Linked DNA regions of Stegostoma tigrinum. The protein of the gene in region 1 binds, or shares a complex with, the protein of each later gene. Links are inferred from orthologs where the notes say so. Each region holds a gene or a part of one and is shown on either strand. Other genes may lie near its edges.

What was found.
Region 2: the proteins of mchr2a (region 1) and pmch are in contact, whole or in part, in a cryo-EM structure (PDB 8WST), measured with the Homo sapiens proteins. The link is inferred for Stegostoma tigrinum from reciprocal best matches to the Homo sapiens genes MCHR2 and PMCH. Residues at the interface, in NP_001035269.1 of Homo sapiens: His82, Gln92, Trp93, Gly96, Gly97, Thr110, Asp113, Gln117, Ile175, Phe177, Val181, Ser183, Cys184, Ala185, Phe186, Leu188, Thr189, Ser190, Pro191, Val194, Tyr197, Thr198, Tyr267, Gln271, Asn274, Met277, Glu278, Gln279, Pro280, Phe284; in NP_002665.2 of Homo sapiens: Leu151, Arg152, Cys153, Met154, Leu155, Gly156, Arg157, Val158, Tyr159, Arg160, Pro161, Cys162, Trp163.

The regions. Positions count from the first base shown.
Region 1 is NC_081357.1:48,883,842-48,893,956, forward strand, and holds the start of mchr2a (melanin-concentrating hormone receptor 2), read right to left. Parts: upstream 4,284-10,115; 5' UTR 3,958-4,283; intron 3,454-3,957; exon of another isoform or gene 3,351-3,453; intron 2,626-3,350; exon of another isoform or gene 2,119-2,625; intron 1-2,118. UniProt on the Homo sapiens protein: Receptor for melanin-concentrating hormone, coupled to G proteins that activate phosphoinositide hydrolysis.
Region 2 is NC_081371.1:60,123,977-60,134,772, forward strand, and holds the start of pmch (pro-MCH), read right to left. Parts: upstream 4,611-10,796; 5' UTR 4,575-4,610; coding exon 4,359-4,574; intron 3,599-4,358; coding exon 3,352-3,598; intron 318-3,351; coding exon 268-317; 3' UTR 1-267. UniProt on the Homo sapiens protein: MCH may act as a neurotransmitter or neuromodulator in a broad array of neuronal functions directed toward the regulation of goal-directed behavior, such as food intake, and general arousal. May also have a role in spermatocyte differentiation.

The DNA.
Region 1 (10,115 bases):
GGTCTTTGGGGATTAAGTTATGAAGGGATTTTACAAATTAGGTCTGTTTTCACTAGAATTTGAAAGGTCACGGGGTGATTCGATCAAAATTTGCAAGATATCAACAGGAAAAGACAGTAGATAAAGATAAACTATATCCCCTGGTTGGAGATTCTAGAACTAAGGGCCATGGTCTGAGAATAAGGACCAAACCAAGCAGGACAGATGTTGGGAAAGACTTCTACACACAAAAGATGGCAAAGGTTTGAAATCTCTTCCACAAATGACAGTTGATGTTGGATCAATTGTTCATTTTAAGTATTGGTTTCCTCTGCACCAAGGAAAAGAACCCCAGCCTTTCCAATCTGTCTTCACAACTGAAACTCTCCAACCCAGGCAACATTCTGGTAAATTTCCTCTACGCCCTGTCCAGTGAAATCACATCCCTCCTATAATGTGGACTTCATAACTGCATATAATACTCTAGCTGTAGCCAATATTACATACAATTTCTACTTCGCCTCCCTGCTTTTAAACTCAATGTCTCAGCTAATAAAGGCAAACATCCCATATTGCTTCTCAACCACTTTATCTACCAGTCCCACTACTGTAGGGACTATGAATACTACTTTCTTCACTGTTTACCACCCATCCATTTTCACATCATTTGTGAACTTACTGGTCAGCCCATATACATTCAAGTCTAAATCATTTACATACATCAGAAACAGCAAAAACCCCAATAATGATCCCTGAGGAAACCCACTAGACATAGACTTCCAGTCACAAAAGCACTCCTCAATCAATAACCTTTACTTCTTACCATGCAACCAGGATCCAAATTAATAAATTTCCTTGGGTCCCTTGGGGTGTCACTTATCTGCTAATCTTCTGTAATGTCAGCAATTTAAAAATGCAGGTTCTCCATTTATCTTTTTATTTTAAATGACTTTTTTCCCCCCAATTCAGTTAGTATCATTGGCCACTGTATATCTGGGAAATTCTGTAGGTGTTGTATGGAAGATCACTTACACATATTGGAAACATGTCATTTAATAATAAAACCATCAAGTCATCATTCATTGTGAAAAAATAAGTGAAGATAACACTCTGCAGATTACATGCTTCTAACATGCTGTTTTAGTGCCAGGCAATTGTAATTACACAGTTCCTCCCTAAGGTTTTCACTACTTGCTTGAAACTCTGCTCACAGTGGGTTTCCTCCAGATGCTCCAGTTTCCTCCCACAGTCCAAAGATGTGCAGATTAGGTGGATTGGCAATGCTAAATTGTCCATAGTATCCTGGGGTATGCAAGCTAGGTGGATTAGCCAAGGGGAATTGCAGGGATAGGAAGAGGTTGGGGGGGGCGCTGGTTGGCATGAACGGGTTGCTCCTTGGAGGGTCGGTGTGGATTTCATGGGCCGAACAGCCTGCTTCCACACTGTAGCAATTCTATTATTTGAAAACTAATACTGTCACAATAGGTAAGACACATTATTCCAAAACAATCCACAACATTCTAAATAACACAAACCACAACACTATAAAAAAGTCAGTTTACCCCATCTCCATGTGTTATGGGATTCTTTGCAAAATTCCAGGATAAGGATCCAAATTGGGATCTATATCTTCATGAAAAACTAATCAGTTCTGATGAAGAGTCACTGGACCCGAAACATTAGCCCTGTTTTCTCCCCACAGATGCTACCAGACCTGCTGAGTTACTCCAGCACTTTCATTTTTGCTGCAATCGGTTATTCCTTGTGCCATAACCTTTCTGTGCACCAAGTTTTACTGAAATCAATCCATTAGTTATTACAGACAAACACACAAAACAATGTTTCTGGCAAAGCTCAACAGGCCTGGCAGCATCCATAGAGAGAAATCAGGGTTAACATTTCAGGTACAGCAATTTCTGTTTTTGTTTCTGATTTATAGCATCTGCAGTTCTTTTGTTTTTCATTTAAAACAATATTTCTGTTTACCTTCCGTTGTGGAGGTTGGAACTGGAATACAATGATTGGTTTTAATAGCATTAAAACCAATTTAGGTTTTAGAAAGTGGTTTTGTTTTCAAATCTTTAACCAGGGTAAATATTTTATAAATCAACCTGTTCAGAGATATTATTACACACTTACTACATATGTAGGATTGGACCCTGTTCTCCCGGCTCAAAGAAAGGGACACCATCGCAGTGCTACAAGAGTTGTTTTTAACAAGGTGAAATGAATAACTGCTTTCGACATAGGAGCAGAACTAGCCCATTCAGCCCATCGAATCCGCACCGCCATTTCATGAGCTCACGTGATCATCTGATAATCTTCAACCTTACTTTTCCGTTTTCTCTACATAATTCTTAATTCCTTCACTGATTAAAAATCGGTTTCTCCCACCAAAGGAGAAACAGGAACCCTTTCCAAATCCAGTAAATACAGAGAACGTCATCAGAGACTCTCATTAAAACAGCTCCTCCTGCAGACCTGAAGCTCTTGATTGAAGAGGAGCCAGAACGTCCCTCTCCACAACTACGGCCAGATCTGCGGAGTTTTTTTAAAAAAACAAATTTTCAGAACTCTCTGGGGTTTTTGTTTACATTTCCGAATTTTGTCTTCCTTTACAGAGGGCAACTGTTACACTGCAACTTCCGCAACCTTTCCCGCTGTTCCACCGTTTCAATTGAACCGTTGCCCACCAGAAATTAGAAGCGATGGTGAATCTGCTGATCAAACTTTATTACTGTCCATTAGACCCTCAGGCCGATTGCGGTGTTCCATTGCTGACAAGATTGATGTAACTAGCAGTTTTACATAATCAATCAAAAAATAATTATCGGTTGTGCTCAAATTTAAATGGTTCACAGCTATACTTCATTGATATAAAACAAAGCCGACAATACATTGAACACCAATAAACAATACATATTTGATTAATACTGCGCTCGCTATGAAGTAGTTTAACCTGCTTTCCAGCATTGGGTTTCATCTGAGGGTTCTCCCGGGTTGAATATCCGCTGGATATTGACTATCCCGGAGGGTCAGCTCACTGACCTAATGAGGCTGATCATGCCCATTCAAACATAGCCCACAAACAAGAAGCATGGGTGAGGAGAAATCAGGGTATTCCTTCATTTAAACACAATTACCCTGACACGTCTTTTGAGTGATACTCTGCAGGTCGGCAAAATTGCAACCGTTAAAGCGACCCTCTATAAAATGTAAATATCTTTTAGAGAATATTTTGTTCAGGTGGAGCTGTTTCTTGATCTCATAGACCGTCAGTTACTTCCCTGATGTCTTTTGCTACCTTTTCGCTCCGAGTAATTCTGATGGGAAACTGCTGTCAACTACCTGCAGGAAGCTAACAAACTTACCTTTTCTGCCAGATTAGCTCTGGTACAATACCAAGTTCTTCATATTCTTTTGCTTTCCCAAATGCTGCTTCAATCGTGGCGCAAATCTGGTGCAAAGAGGCCGCCATTCTTTTCTTCAATGCACGCAAAAACATTAATTTTGCTGGCTGCCGATGGACTGTGACGCTGGTTTTGTTTTTGAGCATTCGACAGACGACCTAGGAAATCGCCAACTGCAGAAATCTCTCCCCGTTTCATTTGTACAATCGGCTGGTCAGTGAGAGCTATAGAAAGTTCAGGTTTATCTTTGGCGAACAGGGTAGCGGGCAGGAGTGATTGAAGAATTAGATCATGAGCCACCAGCCAACAAGTGCTAGCTTTACCTGTATGACCGGACCGTTACTCCAACCATAACTGGACTTGAAAGATTTACAATTATTTAATGTAGCAGATGTCTCCCAACAGTGAAATAAAGTAATCGTTCAAATAAAATAATCGGTGAAGCAAATAGATACACACGTTTGGTTATAACATAGGTAATGATAACATTTCTGATATTCTGTATTGACACTATATAAAATGCCCTTTCTTATACTTGTTCAGTTTATTGACTTAATTCGACCCTTACCTGCTTTTGGTGTCGGCGGAGATGTTTGATAATAATTCTCAGCTACAAGTCTTCCTTCTATAACCTTGTTGACGGGTTGCTGTGTGCAACATGTAAGGGAATGTGTCTCTAACAGCAAGCTGACACGCCTCCTTTCAGAGGTCAGCGAGAGTGCCGGGGAAGTGACAGGCCGCTGGGTTTGAGTAAGACCTGTCTGCGGGAAACGAGGTGATGAGGTTGTGTTTTCAGTGTTCTCAGCCCAGCCGAGCCTCGAAGAGATTCAGATGAGTGAAGTACAGATCATGCCAAGCTCTCTGCAACAGTTCACTCTCCACTCGCATCTGCTCCTCGCGATTTTTACAAGCTTAACCGAATGTCAATTATGTTAAGTGGTCAGCAGTATCCCGGCACCATATGTAGAGATAATTCCTTTCAGCAATGATGCCAGACTTCTAACTTTGTAATTGTGCAACACACTGAGCAGAAAGTGCTGGGGCGTGTCACCTTGCAGCTGAGAACTGCGACCTAGAAGTTTCTCCTGTCTATTTCCGTAGCGTTAATGAGAACTAAAGCTGAGGAGGCCATACAAAGCCGACTGAATAGACGCGCAGACAAATGTGATGTGATTGAAATGGCCGGCAGAATGAGGAGAGGTAATAGAAATGACTTGATACAGGTTTTCAATGGACACAGGAACGGACATTGGATGTGAACGTCCACAAGATTTTAAAGAGGGGAAAACAAAGTAAAAGCTTTGGCCGCGACCACTCATTTCAAACGTAGTTGTTTAACCTGTTGAGATTATGTTATGACACATCTCGGGCCGGTGGGACTTGTATCCAGCCCCCTTGATCATGACCCCACCCCTGGGCCCTAAACTATCATCTCCCAAACCATCCACAACCTCATCACTTCAGGTGACCTCACACCCCCACAGCCTCCAAACCCATCGTTCCCCAACCACACACGACCAGCTTCCATCTCCGTCCCAAAATCCACAAACCTAACTGCCCTGGTTGACCCATTGTCTCTGCCTGATCCTGCCCCACCGAACTTACCTCCACTTACCTGGACTCCATTTTCTCCCCGTTGGCTCTCTGCTTCTTCCTGTCCCACAGGTCTGACCAGTCCACCTCCACTGACACCCTCATCTGCTTAGCCGAACTCTCAACAACTTCTCTTTTAATTCCACCCACTTCCTACAGACAAAGGGGGTTCCTGCATGGGCCCAAGCTATGCCTGCCTCTTTGTAGGTTACGTGGAACAATCCCTCTTCCGTACCTACACTGGCCCTAAACCTCACCTCTTCCTCCATTACATCCATGACTGTATAGTCGCCACCTCGTGCTCCCACGTGGAGTTCGAACAGTTCATTCACTTCACCAATACCTTCCACCCCAACCTTAAATTCACCTGGACCATGTCTAATAACTTTCTCTCCTTCCTAGACACCTCTCTCCATCTCTGGCAACCACCTAGAAACCGATATCTGTTTCAAGCCCACTGACTCCTACAGCTACCCAGAATACACCTCCTCCCACCTACTTTCCTGCAAAAAAGTTATCCCTTATTCCCAATATCTTTGCCTCAGCCGCATCTGCTCCGAGGATTAAGCATTCCACTCCCATACATCTCAGATGTCCTCGTTTCTCAAGGACCGCAACTTCCCCTCCTCAGTGGTCGAGAACGCCCTCGACCATGTCTCCCGCATTGCCTGCAATTCATCCCTCATACCCCTTCCCCGCAATAAAAACCAAAACAGAATCCCCCTCATCTTCATATACCACCTCACCAACCTCCGGATCCAACGAATCATCCTCCAACACTTCTGCCGTCTGCAATCCAAACCCACCACCAAAGACATTTCTGACCCCCAACCCTTATCTGCTTTCCAGAGGGACCACTTTCTCTGTGACTCCCTTGTCCGCTCCACACTCCCCTCCCCTCCAGCCCCACCTCACCCGACACTTTTCCCTGCAACCGCAGGAAGTGCTACCCATGCCCCCTCACCACTATCCCAGGCCCTAAGAAGACTTCCCACATCAAGCAGAGGTTCACCTACACACCTGCTAATGTGGTATACTGCATCTACTGTTCCCGTTGTGGCTTCCTCTACATCGGGGAAACCAAGCAGAGGCTTGGGGATAGCTTCGCAGAACATCTACGCTTGGTTCATACTAAACAACTGCACCTCCCAGTCGTGCACCATTTCAACTCCCCCTTCCCTTCCACAGATGATGCTACCTGAAGGTTGCAGGAACAGCAACTCATAATCCGCTTTGGAACCCTGCAGCCCAATGGTATCAATGGGGAGTTCACAAGCTTCAAAATCTCCCCTCCCCCTACCGTATCCCAAAACCAGCCCAGATCGTCCTCACCTCCCTAACCTGTCCTTCCTCCCACCTCCCCCCTCCTCCCACCTCAAGCTCCACCCCCATCTCCTACCTACTAACCACATCCTGCCGCCTTGACCTGTCCGTCCTCCCTGGACTGACCTATCTCCTTCCTATGTCCCTACCTACACTCACCTTTACTGGCTCCATCCCCACCTCTTTGACCTGTCTGTCTGTCTCCTCTCCTCCTATCTTCTCCTCTATCCGTCTTCTATCCGCCTCCCCTTCTCCCCCTATTTATTTCAGCACCCCTTTCCCCTCTCCCATTTCTGAAGAAGGATCTAGACCTGAAATGTCTGCTCCTCTGATGCTGCTTGGCCTACTGTGTTCATCTAGCTCAACATCTTGTCATCTCTGAATCCAGATTTTCCCAGTTGGAGGAGGAGAACTCTTGTAACGCCAGAACAGCAGCTTGGAATATGTACTCATGTTTACACTGAGCCATCTTCTCCCACCCCTACTCTACCCACGACCTTCTGAAATCCAGAGAATTCCGGGGAAAGGTAAGGGTGGGGGAGATCAGGCAAAACAAATCTCTGTCCTTCAGCATCTGGTATGAACTCAGGTTCTAACTGCACTCAGGTGCACAGTAGAAAGAGATTGACAATGGGTTAGAAAACAGAATGCAGAGGACCTGAAAGGACTAGTTACAAAGTTCAGTAAAGTACAGTAGCTGACTGGTAAAAGTGGGTGTACTCTGGTGTAATCCTGAAAGAATGTACGGAATTTTGTCTTTTGGGTGAGACAATAAATCTAATCTGTTATCTGGAATAGATGTAAAATAGATCATGAGACTATTTTGAAAAAGGTTAGGAGATAGTCATTTAGAAATACAGAACTTCAAAATTGCTTCACAAAAATATTTTGTTGAAGCTTGTTCTCTTGAACTCATCAGGACAATTTGCAAGATGTAAAGTTAAAGACCCGTTTAGTGTGCCAGGGATTGTGATTTGTAGAGGCTATGAAGAATGCACCCATTAGATGATGACCGACAGTTAACTGCCAGATGCCAGGCTGGTTGACTCTAATTATTCAAAACAGTGCTCTGAGAACTGATCCAAACATTGGCTGTCACACGTGCATTGATTTGAAACCGATGCAGTGCGTGTATGTTATTTCTGTCTCCAAAGAACAGGGTCTTTGCATTAACATATATGATTTTCAGTACACACAAATGCACCGCATTGTGAACCTGACCAACAATCCTAAATTGATTGTCAGTGCATCCAGGATTTGTTTTCAGCAATACACAAAACCAGGGGAATTCTCTTTAGTCTCCTGACCAATATTTATTGATCAATTAACATCTCTAAAACAAGTTATCTGCTCATCATTGCTTTGTTGTTTGAAGATTCTATCTTGTGTATGGTATTATCTAGCTGCCTTGTTTCCAACATCGCCAATAGTGGCTACAATTTAAATGTAAAATTGTAAGAAATGGGGAGAGGGATAGGCCATTTCCACCATCAAGTCTTTTGTACCATTTAATAAGATCATGACTGATCTAAAGCTAGTCTGTACCCCATTGACCATAGTTTCCCTGTAAACTAAATTCCTTATAAATTCCTTGTCTAGCTCAGCCTTGAAGACATTCAATAACCCATTTTGCCTCATTGCTTTCTCAAATAGGAGAGCAATTGTTTTTAAACCATGCCCCCTAATTCGAGATATCTCCATGACAGAAAATATCTTCTTAACATTTACCTTGTTGATCCCCCTCAAAATCTTACATTTTCCAATGAGATCACCTTTTATTTTCGTCTATTCATTTGGAATCGCTGGCTAGGCCAGCATTTTTTGCCCTTCACCTACTGTTTTGCATGGGGAATAATGTACAAACATTAATATTTGGTCAAATGAGTATATCTCGGGGCCAGTATGAATCAGAGAAAAATGAACAACAATATTCTTCTGCAGTATTTAAGGAATTGAGGTAAAAACTGACTTTGAGGTCCAAGTGCCTATTATAAAAACTATAATATTTTCTTTCCCCTAAATAAATAAAAAGGATAGTGAGGATTGTCTACACGCAACATTAGATTTATGTTCTGTGATATGTGAAAATTATCTACAGATTTTTACTGGCAGCCACAATTTCTCCCCTAACCTATCCCCAAGATGTTACATGGTTGCAAGGGCTTGAATGGAGGGCCAGGAAGCTGGAAATATTCAGTCAGATTTGGACAATTATTGAAATCTGTGGGGCAGGCATGATGCAAAGATGGTCTAATATTTCTCTTTGCGCCAAATTGGCAAGTGTGTGTATTTGGTCCTCAACCTGTAAGTGTGACAGATAGAAAGGTATCACTTCTGAAATCTCCTGAGAGTGACTGGACAAGACAACAAAGCTTTCAGGGTAGGAACTGCAGATGCTGGAAAATCTGAGATAACAAGGTGTGTAGCGCTGGATGAATACAAGCAGCATCAGAGGAGCAGAAAGGCTGACGTTTGGCTCCTACAAAGAGTCTTTCAATTTCTCCCACATCCTACAGACAAAGGGAGTGGCCATGGGTACCCGCATGGGCCCAAGCTATGCCTGCCTCTTTGTAGGTTACGTAGAATAGTCCCTCTTCTGTAGCTACACTGGCCCTAAACCCCAATTCTTCCTCCGCTACATTGATGACTGTATCAGCGCCGCCTTGTGCTCCCATGAGGAATTCAAACAGTTCATCTACTTCACCAAAACCTTCCACCACAACCTTAAGTTCACCTGGACCATCTCTGATGCCTCTCTGTCCTTCCTGGACCTCTCTGTTTCCATCTCTGACAACCACCTGGAAACCGATATCCATTTCAAACCCAGCAACTCCCACAGCTACCTAGAATTCACTTCCTCTTATCCACCTTCCTGCAAAAAGGCCATCCCCTATTCCCAATTCCTTTGCCTCTGCCGCACCTGCTCCCAAGATGAGACATTCCACTCCTGTACATCTCAGATGTCCTCCTTTTTCAAGTACCGCAACTTACCCCCACTCAGTGGTCGAGAACGCGCTCGACTGTGTCTCCTGCATTTCCCGCAACTCATCCCTAACACACACTCCCCAAAATAACAACCAAAACAGAACCCCCCTCGTCCTCATGTAACACCTCATCAACCTCCAGATGCAACACATCATCCTCCGAGACTTCCGCCACCTGCAATCTGACCCCACCACTAAAGACATTTTTCCCTCCCCACCCTTATCTGCTTTCTGGAGGGACCACTCTCTCCATGACTCCCTTGTCAGCTCGACACTCCCCTCCAGCCCCACCACCCCCGGCACTTTTCCCTGTAACCGGAGCAAGTGCGACACCTGCGCCCACACCTCCTCCCTCACCCCCATCCCAGGCCCTAAGAAGACTTTCCACATCAAGCAGATGTTCACCTGCACATCTGCTAATGTGGTATACTGCATCCGCTGTACCCATTGTGGCCTCCTGTACATCGGGGAAACCAAGCGGTGGCTTGGCGACCACTTTGCAGAACACCTACGCTCGGTTCACACTAAACAACTGCACCTCCCAGTCACGAACTATTTCAACTTCCCCTCCCATTCCTCAGACGACATGTCCATCCTGGGCCTCCTGCAGTGCCACAATGATGCCACCCGAAGGTTGCAGGAACAGCACCTCATATTCCACTTGGGAACCCTGCAGCCCAATGCTATCAATGTGGAGTTCACAAGCTTCAAAACCTCCCCTCCCCCTACCGCATCCCAGAACCAGCTCAGCTCATCCCCATCTCCCTAACCTGTCCTTCCGCCCACCTACCCCCTCCTCCCACCTCAAGTCCCACCCCCATTTCCT
Region 2 (10,796 bases), on another chromosome or scaffold:
TATTTTCAAAATATAATACACAGGCAACTCTCATGATTATGAATGCAGAAAATCTAAAACTTTTTATTTCTTTTTGAATACACTAACTAACTAGTTCAGTAATGAGCAATTTCAGCTTAAAGCTTTCACTGTCTAAAGCATGGAGAATAAATCACACAAAGGACTAAGTACACAGTTTCAATCACTTATGAATGCACGGTCACAAGAGTCAGATAACAACAACATGTTAAAGTTTCACCAAGGATCTTGAGGCTCTTGCACAGTTGGTCAGTTTTGCCAGCAGGGTCGGTAAACTCTTCCAAGCATGCAGCGGAGAACTGTGAGATTTAGGAAGGAAAATAGAATGAGACCCTGGTGCAGCTTATTGTGTACCTTTTTTGGACTACCTCTTTTTCTTTTAGTTTTTACAAATTAACTAACTGCAAGGTTTTAACTCATTTTATTTTATATGCATGTTGATCATCTGAAGTAACCTGCATGAATATAAATGAGTCGGAGAGAGCCCTTGTGGTAATTTCCTTATTGCTGAGCTAAGAGATCGAGGCTCAAGTTGCCTCTCCTCCAGAGGTGTGTGATAATATTTGAGTCAGATAAGATGTCAATCACTGAGGGACGACCTTGGCAAACCTCCAAGGCTTGAACATCAATACAGTTAGACGTTTCTGAATATTACTGTGTCTATAGGGAAAATGTTACAACGCCACAATAATGGATTTGTATGTCCTTGAATTTAAATGAAGGGATAAACTAACTAATGTGGTTGAGACAATGGATTTTAAGCTTCCTCCTGGACCTGGTTAAAGTGGTCAACAAATTTAGGTATTGGGCTGTGGAGGGGGTAGTGATTTCCCACTGCCTGTCCCTCTTGTGTGGCACGGTGGCTCAGTGGTTAGCACTGCTGCCTCATAGTGCCATGGACCCGGGTTCAATTCCACCCTCAGGTGATAGTCTGTGTGGAGTTTGCATGTTCTCCCCATGTCTGCATTAATTTTTTACCAGGGACACTGGTTTCCTCCCACAATCCAAAGATGTGCAGGTTTGGTGGATTGGCCATGCTGAAATTGTTCCTAGTGTCCAGGGATGTGCAGGCTAGGTGGGATTAGCCATGGGAAAATGCAGGGTTACAGGGATAGGGTAGAGGGATAGATTGGTGTGGACTCGTTGGGGAGGCAATGGCCTAGTGGTATTATTAATCCAGAGACCTAGACAACATTCTGGAGACCTGGGTTTGAATCCTGCCACGGCACATGGTGGGATTTGAATTCAATAAATATCTGGAATTAAGAATCTATTGATGACTGATGTTGATTGTCAGAAAAACCCATCTGATTCACTCATGCCCTTTAGGGGACGCAACTGCCATCCTTACCTGGTCTAGCCTACACGTGACTCCAGACCCACAGCAATGTGGTTGACTCAACTGCATTCTGGGCAACTAGGGATGGGCAATAAATGCTGCCTGGTCGGTGATGCCCTCATCCCGTAAATGAATAAGGGGGGGGAAAAAAAGGCCTGTTGCCACACTGTAGGGATTTGAAGACTCTTCAGTTTATATGTTTGTGCCTGGGTGCCCAGGCACAGGTAGGAGCATCTGGTGCCTGTGAGGCAATTAGATAGTGATGGGCATCTTGGAGTTTGGCATTTTGTTCCCCTCTAACACCATTTTAATTTAATCCCCTCTGTCTCTTTTTTCCTTTCACGTCTGTTATTATTACATTTCCCCTGGCACAGTGCTCGTTAACTGGTTATCTGTTAAGTTGATTATTTGGGTGATTTGGTGGGTTACTTTTAAAAAGATGAAGGAACTGATAAGTAGAAACTCTTTCTCTGTTTGGGGTGTCTGGGAGAGTGTACAACATCTAAATTGGGAACAGGAATAGGCCATTCTGCTCTTCAATAAGATCATGGCTGATCTGTTCATGTATTGGATTCTCAATCCCATCTTAACACCCCTTTTTCCCCCATTAACCTTAGATTATGGGTAGGCAGGTGAATCAATTTACCACCTTCCTGGAAAACATTAAAGAACAAAGCAAGGTGGCTTAATCCTAAAGTGAAAGCCAGCTCATTTAGAGCTGCAGTCAGGAAGCACTCCTTCCCCATAAGGGGTTGTGGAAATCTGGAATACTCTGTTTAATCCTCCCAAAAAAAGCTCTTGAGCCTAGTTAGGGGTGGTTGAGTTTGGGAGTATCAAATGAAGTTTCCTAAACAAAACCTTCTAGATTTTAGTGGGTAGTTGGCATCCAGATACAGATCAACTTGTAATCAAATTGAATGACAGGACAGGCTTGAGGGGCTGAATGGTCTCTTGTTCGTGTGCTCTGATTTTGGAGATATAATTTGAATTTTGGTCCCTTGGCTCCGCAGATATATGTGGGAGCCAGCCCAACATCTGTATTTTACAATTGCCAGGAAGATAAACGCTCAGTTTCGTTTTGACCTGGGACAGACACAGAAAATAGGTGAAAGACTGGACCATTCAGCCCCTTTGAGCACCACCACCCACTATGCTTACAGCTGATCATGTAATCTCAGTATCCCACTCCTGTTTTCTGTCCATACATACTGATACCTTTAGCCACAAGGGCCATGTCCCAATCCCCCTTTAATATATCTAGACCAGCCAGACTTTGAATTTAATCTCTCATCTGCTAACTGACACCTCCAAGTGTGCAGCACTCCCTCAGTACTGCTGCCTCGTTTGTTTGAGGTCCTGTACCCAAGGGGTGTAAAAGAAGTGTTTGGCCATTATTGTGTTGAATGACAAGGCAGGGTTGATGGGCTGAATGGCCTACTCAGCAGTTGTAGGATTATAATCTTGCACCCTGTTCTGTTATTCTGATGTGCATGTCTGGTACGATCTGCTCATAAAGTATGTACGACAATGCTTTTCACTGCACTTCGGTACATGTGACAGTAATTATTCAAATCAAATAAAATCCTGTTCCTATCCCCAAGTTCAACACCAGGTTTTGACCTCCCCCCTGCTTCTTGGGTGGGTGCTAGGGCAATAATAAAAATGATGTGGCTTGTGTTTGTAAGTTACTCTACACACTGCTATGGGGTAAACTGTTCTGGCCCTTCACAGTTTTGGACAAATTAGAGCTGTCTGGAAAAGTGACATTCTGGAGTCAGTCACCACAAGAGGAGATAAAACTGTGAAATAATCTATCTACCAGCCACAGATGGCTACCGCATAAGTTTCAGAAAATGAAGCCAATTGATGTGAATCAAAATTAAAAATCAATGCAGATTGCTCGATAAATAGCACTCTGAACTTGCCTCTTTTTTTTTCCACTCAGTAACTACATATCACAACTCAACAGCTGTTTCAGCATGCCAAAAACTTACTGTCAAAATCTCTTCTGCCCACAGGAAGCACAGCCCCATTTTCTCCATCATTAGTGGCTCGATGTGCCTCTAACATCTCAAGCTGTTCCAGTTGATTTGAGCTTTCAGAAGCATCTGTCCTCTTAGCTGAGTGGTACGGTGGCTTTTTCATAGACTCATTTGAGATGAGAGGTCGTTTGAATAACCTCTGGCTAGCAGACATAAAAGGTGGTCGAATAATTTTGGGGTCCATCCTAAAACCAAAGTCCTAAACAGAAGGCGAGAGTGATGTTTTTAAGAACATCCCATGGTTGTTTCGAAGAATCATAATAAGGGCAAAAATTTAACATCGAGCGGAAGATTACACTGAGTGAACAGTTACGCGATCAATGACATTGACTTTTAAGACTATTTGAAACCAAAGGGAAAACTATTAGAGGCTGGACTATAAAGGCAGATAGCAGGCATTTCAGGGATGTGGCAAGTCTGCAGAATCTGGGATTTTTTTCCTTGCAATAGAGAAAGTGAAAGAAGTAGTAATTATGCTAGTGAACGAATGGACTGTGATGCTAATACAATATATAATAAGAAATTGTTTCCAGGAGATCCGTAACCAGGGGTTCACAGATTTAGGGTAATTGCCATTAGGTATAGTGCAGGAGTTGAGAAAAAAAATTCTGCTTCGAATTGTGACTTGGAATGTTTTACCTGTAGGGGTAGTTGAAACAGATTGAATAGGAACTTGCAAAAGAGAACTGGTTACATACGACAATGAATCAAAAAACCCTCTGGCAGTGGAAACCTTTCCCCTTATCTAACCCATTAAGCCCTCTTATAGAATGAGAGGGAGCTACTCATTCTCCAAATAACTTCTCGGTGTCTGCTTGAAGGCCCTTAATGCTGATGGAGCAAATAAATTTTAGCAACTTACATATAAACATTTTAGAGTTAATTGAATACATTTTCCTTCTGATAATGAAAGAATAAGTTACACATTTAAAGCGAGCATTTACTGTGATAAGTCATACCTCTGAGGTTACTTTGTCTGGCTGCTGGAGCTGGTAGATTTTGATCAGGCGTGAAGACCTCAGTTGCTCTAGTAGATCATTGTTTGCCAACATTTCTTGGTTAAAGTCTTTCTGTGGCACCTTGTCGTCTTCCAACTGCCCCACAACAGATGAAATGGAAGGTTCTACATTAAACAACACAGAAATAAAAAGAGCTATGTAAACGGTAGCATTCATTCTTGCACTGGTTCTGCCTCAAGCGAAAGGCAGTGTGCGTATGGAACCTGAGGCATTTCAGAGAAGCCCAATCTCCCTTTTTATCCTTTTACCATCATTAATAGACCTCCTGCAGAAACCCATCTAGCGGATCAGATGTGTTACATCTAGAAGTATGGAAGCTGATTCATCACCACAAGAGGTGAACTGATCATTTTCTTCAATCTAAATCCCTAATGAGTTTGTTTCAATTACAGACATCTGTTATCTAAATCAGCGGCAGTCTAAATGATTTATTCGCTTCATGAAAAGATTGGGATCTGTAAGGCCAAAAAGGAAGGTTATGCTTTTGTCTAAAGAATGACACATTAGCATATCTAATTTACAATACCAGCTTTAAAAGATCCTTGAAGAAAATACGTTCTGTTCTCTTTTATCATGAATGAGAAGTGAATATCACAGATGTTATGAATTGGACAAAGAAGGTGAGTTTCATAATGAAATCTTGCTAATCCTGGAAGATTTGTTTTTGAGTGTTTTGGAGAAGTACTTTTTAATCTATAAAACTTCTAAAGGTAAGAATAAAGAAGTTAATAAAATTTCAAAAACTGGTTTAAAAAATCAATCATCTAAGTTCTGCTCTGGTCCAATATTGGTAATAACCTCAAACACTGAACATTGGTAATCAGTTCCTTTACTGTAACAATTCAGATTAGGAACTGGAACAAAAACAGAAGTTGCTGGAAAAGCTCATCAGGTCTGGCAGCATCTGTGAAAGAGAAAACTGAGCTAACGTTTCAGATCCAGTGACTTTCCCTCAGCATCAGACACTGGACCCAAAACGTTAGCTCTGTTTTCTCCTTCACAGATGCTGCCAGACCTGCTGAGCTTTTCCAGAAACTTCTGTTTTTTGTTCCTGATTTACAGCATCCACAGTTCTTTTGGTTTTTAGATTAGAAACTGGCTTGTGTCATGACTATTTTGTCTTTACAAGATGGTTATTTAGACGCGGCAATTAATTTCAGATTTATTTATTTGTATAGTTTCTATATATAAAGGAACCTGAATCTGAATCTGAATCTCTTATTTCAGGCCAGAGCAATAACTTTTGTAATGGACCATTTTATAAGACAGTTGTGTGAGGTGATGGGAGGACTGACAAGGAAAACCAGTACGTATGAATGATAGCATCCTAGGATGTACAAATGATAAGAACTGTATTATGTACGTCTACAGATCCTTGAATGCAAACCAGACAGGTAGTAACAGAGGTAGGACGCCAGCAGTACAGAACCAATGGAGGTGCAGCAAAATGGCATACAGTTGAGGTGGAATTAGAACATAGAACATAGAACATAGAACAGTACAGCACAGAACAGGCCCTTCAGCCCACAATGTTGTGCCGACCATTGATCCTCATGTATGCACCCTCAAATTTCTGTGACCATATACATGTCCAGCAGTCTCTTAAATGACCCCAATGACCTTGCTTCCACAACTGCTGCTGGCAACGCATTCCATGCTCCCACAACTCTCTGCGTAAAGAACCTGCCTCTGACATCCCCTCTATACTTTCCTCCAAACAGCTTAAAACTATGACCCCTCGTGCTAGCCATTTCTGCCCTGGGAAATAGTCTCTGGCTATCAACTCTATCTATGCCTCTCATTATCTTGTATACCTCAATTAGGTCCCCTCTCCTCCTCCTTTTCTCCAATGAAAAGAGACCAAGCTCAGTCAACCTCTCTTCATAAGATAAGCCCTCCAGTCCAGGCAGCATCCTGGTAAACCTCCTCTGAACCCTCTCCAAAGCATCCACATCTTTCCTATAATAGGGCGCCCAGAACTGGACGCAGTATTCCAAGTGCGGTCTAACCAAAGTTTTATAGAGCTGCAACAAGATCTCACGACTCTTAAACTCAATCCCCCTGTTAATGAAAGCCAAAACACCATATGCTTTCTTAACAACCCTGTCCACTTGGGTGGCCATTTTAAGGGATCTATGTATCTGCACACCAAGATCCCTCTGTTCCTCCACACTGCCAAGAATCCTATCCTTAATCCTGTACTCAGCTTTCAAATTCGACCTTCCAAAATGCATCACCTCGCATTTATCCAGGTTGAACTCCATCTGCCACCTCTCAGCCCATCTCTGCATCCTGTCAATGTCCCGCTGCAGCCTACAACAGCCCTCTACACTGTCAACGACACCTCCGACCTTTGTGTCGTCTGCAAACTTGCTGACCCATCCTTCAATCCCCTCGTCCAAGTCATTAATAAAAATTACAAACAGTAGAGGCCCAAGGACAGAGCCCTGTGGAACTCCACTCACCACTGACTTCCAGGCAGAATATTTTCCTTCTACTACCACTCGCTGTCTTCTGTTGGCCAGCCAATTCTGTATCCAAGCAGCTAAGTTCCCCTGTATCCCATTCCTCCTGACCTTCTGAATGAGCCTACCATGGGGAACCTTATCAAATGCCTTACTGAAGGCCATATACACCACATCCACAGCTCGACCCTCATCAACTTTTCTAGTCACATCCTCCAAAAACTCAATAAGGTTTGTAAGGCATGACCTACCCCTCACAAAGCCGTGTTGACTGTATTTGATCAAGCCATGCTCTTCCAGATGGTCATAAATCTTATCCCTCAGAATCCTTTCTAACACCTTGCAGACGACAAACGTGAGACTTACCGGTCTATAATTGCCGGGGATTTCCCTATTTCCTTTCTTGAAGAGAGGAATTACATTTGCCTCTCTCCAGTCCTCAGGTACGACTCCAGTGGAGAGCGAGGATGCAAAGATCTTCGCAAGTGGCGAAGCAATTGCATTTCTCGCTTCCCAAAGCAGCCGAGGACAAATCTGATCCGGGCCTGGCGACTTGTCAATCTTAATGTTTGACAAAATTTTCAGCACATCAGCTTCGTCTATCTCTATCCATTCCAGCATGCACACCTGCTCTTCAAAGGTTTCATTCACTACAAAGTTTGTTTCTTTCGTAAAGACAGAAGCAAAAAACTCATTTAGGGCTTCCCCTACCTCCTCAGGCTCCACACACAAGTTCCCTATGCTATCCCTGATCGGCCCTACTCTTTCTTTGACCATTCTCTTATTCCTCACGTAAGTGTAAAATGCCTTTGTGTTTTCCCGGATTCCTTCTGCCAAGCCTTTCTCGTGCCCCCTCCTGGCTCTCCTCAGACCATTTTTGAGCTCCTTCCTTGCCTGCATGTAATCCTCTCTAGCTGAACTTGACCCTAGCTTCCTCCACCTTATGTAAGCTACCTTCTTCCTTTTCACTAGAAGCTCCACCGCTCTCGTCATCCAAGGTTCCCTAATCTTACCCCTTCTTGCCTGTCTCAGAGGGACATATTTACTCATCACTCCCAACAACTGTTCCTTAAACCGTCTCCACATGTCGATAGTTCCCTTACCATGGAACAACTGCTCCCAGTCTATGCTTCCTAACTCATGTCTAATCGCATCATAGTTTCCTCTTCCCCAATTAAATATCCTCCCATTCTGCCTAATCCTCTCCTTCTCCATAGCTATGTAGAATGTGAGGCAGTTATGGTCACTATCACCAAAATGCTCTCCCACCACAAGATCTGATACCTGCCCCGGCTCGTTTCCGAGCACCAAGTCTAGAATGGCCTCTCCCCTCGTCGGCCTGTCAACGTACTGCGTTAGGAAACCCTCCTGAACACACCTTACAAAAACAGCTCCATTCAAATCTTCTGCTCGAAGGAGGTTCCAATCAATATTAGGAAAGTTAAAGTCACCCATTTACAACAACCCTACTGCGTCCACACTTTTCCAAAATCTGTCGACCTATGCTTTCTTCAATCTCCCTGCTGCTATTGGGGGGCCTGTAGTAAACCCCTAACGAGGTGACTACTCCCTTGCTGTTCCTAATTTCCACCCATACTGACTCGGTAGGCAGATCTTCCTCGACAATGGAAGCTTCTGTAGCTGTGATACCCTCTCTGATTAGTAGTGCTACACCCCCTCCTCTTTCTCCCCCCTCCCTATTCTTTTTAAATGTTCTAAACCCGGGAACATCCAGCAACCATTCCTGCCCATGAGAAACCCATGTCTCTGTTATGGCCACAACATCATAGCACCAGGTACTGATCCATGCTCTAAGTTCATCACTTTTATTCCTGATACTCCTTGCATTAAAGCAAACACACTTTAACCGATCCCTGGAGTCCTCAACATTGACTCTGACTCTGACCTCGAGCAAGCCTCATGGCTTTAGATTATACATGGGCAAGGAAACTTCCTTCTGATTACCATGTACCATCCTCCCTTGGCTGATCAATCAGTACTCCTCCATGTTGAACAACACTTGGAGCAAGTACTAAGGATTAAAAATTGCTAAATGTAATCTGGGTGGGGATTTCACCGTCCACTACTAAAAGAGGCTCAGCAGCAGCCTTACTGATCGAGCTGGTCAGGTCCTGAAGGACATAGCTGCGAGACTGGGTCTGCGGCAGGTGAAGAGGGAACCAACAAGAGGGAAAAATATACCTGATCTCATTCTTACCAATCTGCCAGCTGCAGATGCATCTGTCCGTGAGAGTATTGGTAAGAGCGACCACCGCATAGTCCTTGCGGAGATAAAGTCCTGCCTTCACTTTGAAAATACCCTCCATCATGTTGTGTGGCATTATCACAGTGCAACATGAGACAGACTTTGAACCTTTCTAGCAACTCAGCTGGCCATCGTGAGGTGCTGTGGGCCATCAACATCAGCAGAATTGTACTCCGACACAATCTGTAACCTCATGGCCAGCATATCCCCCACTCAACCCTTACCATCAAGTCAGGGGTTTATTGGAGAATGCAGGAGAGCATGCCAGGAGCAGCACCAGGCATGCCTGAAGATGAGGTATCAACCTGGTGAAGCCACCAAACAGGACTACTTGTACGCTATCCTTTGTGTTATGCTTTTGGGTGGTTTTTGAGTAATTTTTTTGTTGGTCTGCCTCTAACCTTCCTTTTCCCATTGGCTCAGTTATTTCTTTAGGGCAATTTTCCATAATGTGTTATTTCACAGGACTGCATCTATCGCATTATAGCAGAAACCCCTGTACATCTACAGCTTCCCCTTTTATCTATCTTGCTTGTTAGCTCCTCAAAGGAATGAAATAAATTTGTCAGGCATGATTTTCTCTTCATATAGCCATTTTGAATCTGCTTGAGCATATTATGTAATTCTTCTGAATTATCATCAAACCCCTACAGTGTGGAAACAGGCCATTCGGCCCAACAAGTGCACATGGCCCCTCCGAAGGGCATCCCACCCAGACCCATTCCCCTACCCTAGAATTTTCCATGTCTAATCCACCCAACCTAAGCAACCCTGGGCACAATGGGCAATTTAGCATGGCCAATCCATCTACCCTGCACATCTTTGGACTGTGGGAGGAAAGCAGAGCACCGGGAATAAACCCACGCAGACAGGGGGAGAGTGTGCAAACTCAACACAAACAGACACCTGAGGGTGGAATTGAACCCAAGTCCCTGCTGCTGTGAGGCATCAGTGCTAACCACTGAGCCGCCGTGCTGACCTGTTCCACTATTACTTCACTTATATGTGACTTTGAGATAGTAGGAACTGCAGATGCTGGAGAATCTGAGATAACAAGGTGTAGAGCTAGATGAACACAGCAGGCCAAGCAGCATCAGAGGAGCAGGAAAGCTGACGTTTTAGTTCTGGACCCACCCAAAGTGTCAGCTTTCCTACTTCTCCGATGCTGCCTGGCCTGCTGTGTTCATCCAGTTCTACACCTTGTTTTCTTATATTTGACTTTAACAGCTTTCTAATTATAGATGTTAAGAAGACTGGCCAATAGGTATTTGTTTATGGCTCCCTTACATTTTAAATGAAGCTGTCAGAACTCAAGGGCCTCAAAATAATGGGGAGCAGATTTATGACTGAGCTGACGTAAAACTTCTTCAACCAAAATTTTGTGAATCTGAGGAATTCCCTGCCAGGTGAAATATTTGAGGCTACCTTGTTGAATGTTTTTAAGGCAAAGATAGATCAGTTTTTGAACAGCAAAGCAAGTAAGGTATATAGTGAGCGGGTTAGTACTTAGCTGAGTCCATGAAAAGATCATCCATGATCTTTTTGAATGGGGGGATGGGCTGAAAAGGCCAGATGGCCAGATCCTATTCCTTATGTTCATATGTTACATTGGCAGTTTTTCAATCTTCTGGAACTTTTCCAGACACT